2 linked regions of the Coturnix japonica genome follow. The main gene of each other region encodes a partner of the protein of the gene in region 2 in a complex. Links are inferred from orthologs where the notes say so. Each region holds a gene or a part of one and is shown on either strand. Other genes may lie near its edges.

Region 1 (3,436 bases), on a different chromosome or scaffold from region 2:
ACCAAACAGACCTTTTGCTTTTGGCTGCAACAAACCACTGAGAAGAACAGTTGTTTGACAGAGATGTGTTATGTTTGCCTCACTTACCTGTTGTTTTCAATTGTTTTGTAGCAGAACAACGTAAGGATATGAGCCAGGGGTGCCTCCTCCCCCTGGGTGCAGCTCAGCCATCCCACAGGGCAGCACCAACTCATTACACAGGCTGGGGGGAGCAGAGACACCAACACGCTGCCCCATAGGCAGCTCATCCACCCTATGCAAGGGCTCCTAATGTGCAAGCTGTGGGGATCTGAGTCAGGGCTGTAATTCCCTCATTAGCGAGGACATTGTTACAAACCCCTTCATTAAGGAAATATGTGTTTTTAACATGTAAGACAGTTGAGGCTGCAGGGAACAAGCATCAGGCGGTCTGTCCTCTCACCAGGCTGTGCTTAAGGGAGGGTTTGCAGGGTCTGATTCTTGACACACCTGACACAAGCTCTAATATTCAAGCTTTGCAGTGAATTTGATATTGGCATAGAGATTTGGTTTATTAATCACGTCTTGTTTGTAGGGATGCAGAATATAGACTCCATAGGAAAAATAATTACAATTATGGCTGTTTAGCATCTCTGCCAAGGAACGCTTACACAAAGCTGGTGTTGTTCATTACACAGAAACACAGAGAAGCAAAGTGGGAGTGACTTTTTTTCCCTACAAACAGATACAGAACACGCACTGTGTAAAGTAGGTGACACTCAGTTCTGATCTAAGGAGGAGTTTCTGCCCTCCTGGGGTATTTCAGCTGTCCCCACACAAAGCGCAGTAATCCCAAATGAAATATAGAAACAGCGTTTGGGTTCTGTCTCTATGAGCCCTTCAGGAAAGTATCTCGTTCTTCCATCTCTGGTAAAGGGATGTTACCTGGAAGAAAAGAGAATTGTGAGAGACCAGTGAGCAGTGCAGCTTAACGTACAGTGCTACTGCAGTCTGATTTGTGAGCATGTAAGGGAAGTCAGGAAGTTCTGTTTGCCTTCCTGTAAGCAGTGCTGGGCAGGAGCTGTAAGGTAACATTAACCCCTCTACTGCTTTAGGCTCAATAGCTTGCAGCCTGCTCCAGGTTTGGTTTGTTAGTACAGATGATTAGAGTCATCCCTTACTTTGGAAGGTGTTGGGTTAACTCGAGCACGATGCAAAAGTTCTATAGAAGCTATGGTACCTGGTGGGGCTACGAAGTATTCCTCGACTTTCTCCGTGGCGTTTTTCAGCAGCTGTGCCGTGCAGTTCCCCTCGGTAACGTCATCTTCCCGCAGATAAAGACACCTGAGGACAGCGGCCGGAGGTCTGCATGGAGCACATTGGGGCTGGATGTGCACGGGGCACCAACACGGCCCTTACCTGTCCTCCAGCACCGAGTCCATGGGCTGGACACCCTCCGTATCCACCTCCCGCAGCCGCTCCGCGAATCGCACCGCGTCCCGCAGCCGCTCCACGCCGTCGGCATCGCGGAAATCCACCAGGGCCAGGCGCTCCAGGTGGTCGAGAACCTCCATCGTGACGCCGTCCTGCAAGAGAGCACAGATGGGGCTCCTCAAACCGTTACCTCCACTAATGGTATGGTATGGTATGGTATGGTATGGTATGGTATGGTATGGTATGGTAATGGTATGGTTATGGTATGGTATGGTATGGTATGGTATGGTATGGTATGGTATGGTATGGTTAGGGTAGGGTATGGTTAGGTTATGCTATGGTATGGTTATGCTATGGTATGGTTATGCTATGGTATGGTTATGGTATGGTATGGTTATGATATGGTTATGGTATGGTATGGTATGGTATGGTATGGTATGGTATGGTATGGTATGGTATGGTATGGTATGGTATGGTATGGTATGGCATGGGTATGGGTATAGGTATGGGTATGGGTATAGGTATGGGTATGGTATGGTATGGTATGGCATGGTATGGTGATGGTTATAGGTATGGGTATGGCATGGCATGGTACGTTACGGCCCGGCCCCGTGCTCTGTCTGACCTGCGGTGTCGGCGCGGCGCTGGCTGTGCACACGCTGATCCTGAGTGCTCTCACCGTCCCGCCCCGCAGTCCCCGCCATAACCCCGGCACCCACATCTCGCGCCGCCGGAAGCGGTTTGTGGCGTCATCGCTACGCGCCGGAATCGCGTCGTAGCGGTGTCGGAGGGGCCGTGCCGCCATGAATAGCGTGGGGGAGGCGTGTACCGAGCTGAAGCGCGAGTACGACCAGTGCTTCAACCGCTGGTTCGCAGAGAAGTTCCTCAAGGGCGAGAACGACGGGGACCCGTGCGGGCAGCTCTTCAAGCGCTACCAGCTGTGCGTGCAGGTGCGGGCCCTGCCGAGCCGCCGCCTTCACAGCCCAGCATCGTGCCGTTGCAGCCCGTGCGGGGCGGTGCTGACGCTGCTGTTTGTAGATGACGTTGTGAACAGAAGCTTTTGTTTCTCGGTGCCGTTTGAAACGTGCTTCCAACGTAACCGTTTTGTTGTTGTTCTTCCCAGAAAGCCATCAAGGAGAAGGACATCCCCATCGAAGGGCTGGAGTTCATGGGCCCGAGCAAAGGGAAAGCTGAAAACTCCTCCTGACTTCAGCTGAATGCGGGGAGTCAGTGATACGAGCCCACGGGCTGGGAACGGCGGCCACCCAGCAGCCAGGATGGATGCACCGGGACAGCGCTTTGCTGAGCTGCTTCCTCCATGTAGCACTGTAGGAAGTGGGGTTTCCTCTGTGCCTGTAGAAACAAACTGCCGCGAGCCAAAAGACTTCACGGTGTGCTGCCTGCTGCCTCCTTCCCAATGAATCGTGGTGGTGGTTCGGCTTATAACAGTGCAAAAAGATGATTTAACTTCTGTCGAATGTACTTTATAATGGGAGATGTTGAACCTGTAGTTAATCTCTGACCCGTTTATCTTGCTTATTTATGATGTTAGGAAGCGTCTAACAAGAAGGTTGGTTTACTCTGTCTTATCTCTGTGGTGCTGAATTTGGGTGGAAGGAGGCTGGTTTATATGATCCCAAACACCAAGGGCCTAAAGCACAGGTTTTGCCAGTAACAGAGATGGTGTAAAAGCACTTTTGCTGGATTTGCAATAGCTTAAATGAAATAAATGTAAGAAGTTATATTTTGTTCAGGTGGATGACTGTTTGGTAACGTCTGATTATGACCTCCAGGAGGGACAGAGGCAGCCTGCAACAGAACTGAAGAAACAGTGAAAGCAGAGGCCACTTTCTTTGGCCTTTTCCGAGGTACTGAAGTGATCCTGAATCTGAGTTCTTGCTCCTGTAATGTAATGTGTCACTGCAGTAGAACTGCGCAGGCCTGGCTGTCTTTGCACACACGACCACACAGCACCAGGTTGGCCACAACTCCTGTTACATCTTTGATTGAGATAATCAAAGTGTTGAGTGACAGTGATGCTGAA
Region 2 (4,110 bases):
CATCAGTATTTACAGCTTTGGTTTTTCACCTGTTATCTGCAAGTTTACCTCATTAGCACTGGCTACCACAAACTCTGAGAGCGTGCCTTGTTTCCACGGAGGAATTGCTGCCCATACCTAAAAACAAACAGAAAACAACTACCAACATCTGTGCACAACATCAAACCTGTTATCAAAACGCAGTGAAGACAGCCCAGATTCAGAGCGCAAAAATGTAATTATTTTCTTACTATGGAAAGGCAGCTGAATAACTCATGGTGTATTTTAACTATGTGTTTTTAGAGAAAAAAAACCTGAGTAGTGGTATCACCTCATCTCCAGGTTTGAAATAAGACACACTAAGTCCACATTCCATGATAACACCTGAGACATCCCGACCAAGCGTTAGTGGGAACTCAGTATCCATGCTCTTGATTTTCAGGGGATCCCGCTTCATGTTTAACGCAGTTGCACCGTAACCACCTAGAAAATGTGAAATTAGCCGTTACAGACCTTGGTGGGATTTAAGGCCTGGTCAATGCCCACCATCTCACAGAATCACAGAATTGTAGGGGTTGGAAGGGACCTCTAGAGATCATCGAGTCCAACCCCCCTGCCAAAGCAGGCTCCCCACACCATGTCACACAGGTAGGCATCCAGGTGGGTCTTGAATATCTCCAGAGAAGGAGACTCCACCACCTCCCTGGGCAGCCTGTTCCAGTGCTCCGTCACCCTCACTATAAAGAAGTTCTTGCACAAATTCATGTGGAACTTCCTATGCTGTAGTTTCATCCCATTACCCCTAGTCCTATCCCCACGCACTGCTGAAAAGAGACCAGCCACACCACTATGGCTCCCACACCTCAGGTATTTATAAACCTGGATCAAGCCCCCTCTCAGCCTTCTTTTCTCAAGGCCCAACAGACCCAGTTCACTTAGTCCATCTCGCGGTTAGGGCGGCTCGTGCCCCGCCACTTACTTCTCATGCTAAGGTCTATGGGGTTCAAGCTGGCGGCGTGCACTTTAACAATGACCTCGTTGGGGTAGTGTATGACGGGGAACACCATGTCCCGGGTGAAGCGCAGCACCTCGTTGCGGCCGTACTGGTCGATAACCCACGAGGGCATGGCGGACCGTGCCCGTACAGAACCATGGATCCCACGTACCGGCGGTCGCTGCCCGCCTGGCCGCGCCGCACAGCGCAGCGCTGCCCGCACCAGCATGGCCGGCAGCAGCCCCCACCCGCGGCCCGGTGCCCGTCCTCACTCAGGTCCCAATGGGCGGCCGCCGTCTTGGCCGCTCCGCCAATAGAACTGCTCGGTGTTGCATCAAGATGGCGGCACTCAGGGGCTCAGTGCGGCAGCTGGACGGGACGGGAGAGGGGTCGTAGCGGTGTGTGGTGGAGCGGAGCGGGCCGCCATGCTGCGAGCTTCTCTGCGCCAGGTTAGCGGGCTCGGGGCGGGCTGTGTGCTGCGGGGCTGCCTCAAGGTGACCGCGGCTCGTCGGCCCTGCCGTGTCCCGGCGCTGGGTTGGGGTCTGGTAGCAGCTCTGACAGTCGGCGTTCCCCTTTCAGATCTCATTGGCGCTGAAGGAAGGACGGGTCACCCCCACAGAGCTCTGCCAGAGGTGCCTCGCTCTCATCAGGAGCACGCAGGTTCTCAATGCTTACATTACGGTAGCGGAAGAAACTGCATTAAAGCAGGCCGAGGAGGCGGAGGAAAGATACCGAAGAGGTACGTCAGGCTGTTTGTAAGGGTGGCAATCGTGGTGGAAGGGCGCTTTTATTGTACATTGCATCTGCTGTGTGTGCCGGGTGGGCACTCCTGGCTCTTGGGATGCAGTGGGTGCAGGCAGCACCAGGGTAAAATTGACTTACATAGCACACTGATGTAATCCCTGTGGTCTTTGCAATAATTCGAATCCCCCCTGTGGCACAAGTGGTAGAAGTGCCGCTCTGCTACACAGAGGCTCGAATCCCGGGGGTTGGACTCGATGATCTCTAAGGTCCCTTCCAACCCACACCAGACTGTGATAATTCCTAATGCAGGTCAGCCACTGGGTGAGCTGGATGGAATTCCCATTGCAGTGAAGGACAACTTCAATACAGCTGGCATTGAGACAACATGCGCATCAAACATGCTAAAAGGTACCGTATGAAAGGTGCTGTAGAGCTTTTAAAGTGAAATTGGAGCTCTGGCTGAAGAGTGAGCAAAGCCTTCCGCAAGTCAGGCTCTTCTCCTGAGAGGTTTAGCGGAGTGAAATTTTCCATAGATCCAAACATTTTCAAAAATGAGCTGAGCTGATTTGAGGAGCTGTGTTTATCTGATTTCCTCTGTCAAGATCATCTAGTATTACAGGTGGTATGGGAAACTGTTGGTCACAGCCTGAACCTCTGATTAACCATCTGAGCCAAGCAACGAGTCAGCTGTGGGAGCACAGGTGAAGGTAATTCAGCTGTGCTACCTGAAGGGGTAGAGCCTGGGTCCACCTCTCCTAGATCTCATTTAAGGGCTGACCACCACTAAGGTACCATCTCTTTCTGGAGATCACTCCTGTGTGGAGTTTTACAATGTGCCTCAACAGTGGTGGGCATTTGTCATTTATCTTCTTCTTATTATATGACCTCCGTTTATCCATCAGCTTTATAACTGTACAATTGTAATTGTATAAGGGTGTATCTTTTTCTAATGCAAGTGTATTTTCTCATTTTATTCATGTAGCTACGCTGCCATTACTAATACAGTACTTGGTTTTACAGAGGAGAGCAGTCACTAGTGTTTGCTGTTGTGTCCAGCGAAACACAGTCTTTTGTGTTCTGTTTGCATCTATTGCCTTACGTGGTGCTTTCGTATGGCTGTAGGAAGAGTAACTGTTAACAATTCCCTATATTCCCACTTTGTAGAACAGGCTTGTATGACTTTAATTCGTGAACATGTTTGAAGCTTGTTTCTATTACCACTGAAAGGAAATTTTTCAGACACTCTAATGTTTCCATTAGGGTTGAGCATCCATTGTGCAGTTGAAAGCGGGGGGTGGAGAAGTCACTGTTATTATTCACAGAAGTTGGTTGCAACCCAGTATCTCATGGAAGTGGCACAGAACTCATAGTTTATATGCAGTCAAAATGGCTGAAGGTGCATAGAGTTGCTTACAGGTTAGCCAACTTGTGTTTCAGCTTGTGACTGATTATATGCTCCCACATCTCCTGGTAATGGGAATGATTTGAGATAGCTTAGCACTTGTCTGTAAAGAGCTGTTCCTCATTTCTTCTCATTTTAGACCGCTTCTGCAAATTGCCCAAATGCCATAATTTGCTGCTGTTGTGGTAACTTGTTTGTGTAAAGGTTTAACTTCACGTTCTGGAAATGGACAATCCAGGGTTACTGAACTGTAAATTGTGAAGGGAAAAAACATACCATTACAGACAAAACAGTATTTAGTTTACTTTTGCTAAATGTTGAGAATTACCCATATTGTGTATTGGAGCAAAATTTGGGCACTTGTGCAGCGGTGACTTTTATGCACCAATAGTGACATATTTGAGGTGCTTGGAAGAGGAGCTACTTCTAGAAATCAACTGTATCTCATCAACCACTCCCTTAACTGTTTTGCTTGCTTTCAGGTTATGTTCCCCCTTACAATGCTACAGTGGTTCAGAAATTACTGGATCAGGGCGCTGTGCTTTTAGGAAAAACAAACCTAGATGAATTTGCAATGGGGTGAGTGATGTTTATGATTTTTAACATGTGATTCCACATTAAACAGATTCCACACCATCTGTTCCGATCTGTCCATAATCCTTAAACTCTTCTTTCTATCAAGTTAGAAAATAACGCACGCTGATCTGCAAAGAGAATTTAGAGTTGCTTGAATTTCTCAGATATTGCATGAACGTTTTTACTGCTGGGTAAATGATCTACATGTCAGTTTTTTATGAACATAGACTTCAACTATGGCTGTGTTTGAGGGGAAGGACTAGTATAACCTTTGCAGAAAGCAGAGGACGAGCAGACTTCCATATCCAGTAGCAAGTAGATCTGGTTACTGCACCAGCTATTTGTTGCCTTTTTTTTCCTCTTACCAGTGGTTTCTACCCTTAACTAATTATTGTTATGACCTTGATGACAGTTA

The links. The genes of interacting proteins can lie anywhere in the genome.
Region 1: QRSL1 (region 2) and GATC share a complex: the UniProt entries of both Homo sapiens proteins name them as parts of the heterotrimeric GatCAB amidotransferase (AdT) complex. The link is inferred for Coturnix japonica from reciprocal best matches to the Homo sapiens genes QRSL1 and GATC.

The regions. Positions count from the first base shown.
Region 1 is NC_029530.1:8,238,685-8,242,120, forward strand, and holds GATC (glutamyl-tRNA(Gln) amidotransferase subunit C, mitochondrial), read right to left. Parts: upstream 2,198-3,436; coding exon 2,018-2,197; intron 1,545-2,017; coding exon 1,378-1,544; intron 1,303-1,377; coding exon 1,199-1,302; intron 904-1,198; coding exon 848-903; 3' UTR 501-847; downstream 1-500. Other genes in the region: TRIAP1 (TP53-regulated inhibitor of apoptosis 1), read left to right, coding at 2,196-2,342, 2,516-2,599. UniProt on the Homo sapiens protein: Allows the formation of correctly charged Gln-tRNA(Gln) through the transamidation of misacylated Glu-tRNA(Gln) in the mitochondria. The reaction takes place in the presence of glutamine and ATP through an activated gamma-phospho-Glu-tRNA(Gln).
Region 2 is NC_029518.1:61,918,733-61,922,842, reverse strand, and holds the start of QRSL1 (glutamyl-tRNA(Gln) amidotransferase subunit A, mitochondrial), read left to right. Parts: upstream 1-1,310; 5' UTR 1,311-1,398; coding exon 1,399-1,422; intron 1,423-1,552; coding exon 1,553-1,712; intron 1,713-2,026; coding exon 2,027-2,125; intron 2,126-3,601; coding exon 3,602-3,698; intron 3,699-4,110. Other genes in the region: RTN4IP1 (reticulon-4-interacting protein 1, mitochondrial), read right to left, coding at 49-117, 311-462, 959-1,202. UniProt on the Homo sapiens protein: Allows the formation of correctly charged Gln-tRNA(Gln) through the transamidation of misacylated Glu-tRNA(Gln) in the mitochondria. The reaction takes place in the presence of glutamine and ATP through an activated gamma-phospho-Glu-tRNA(Gln).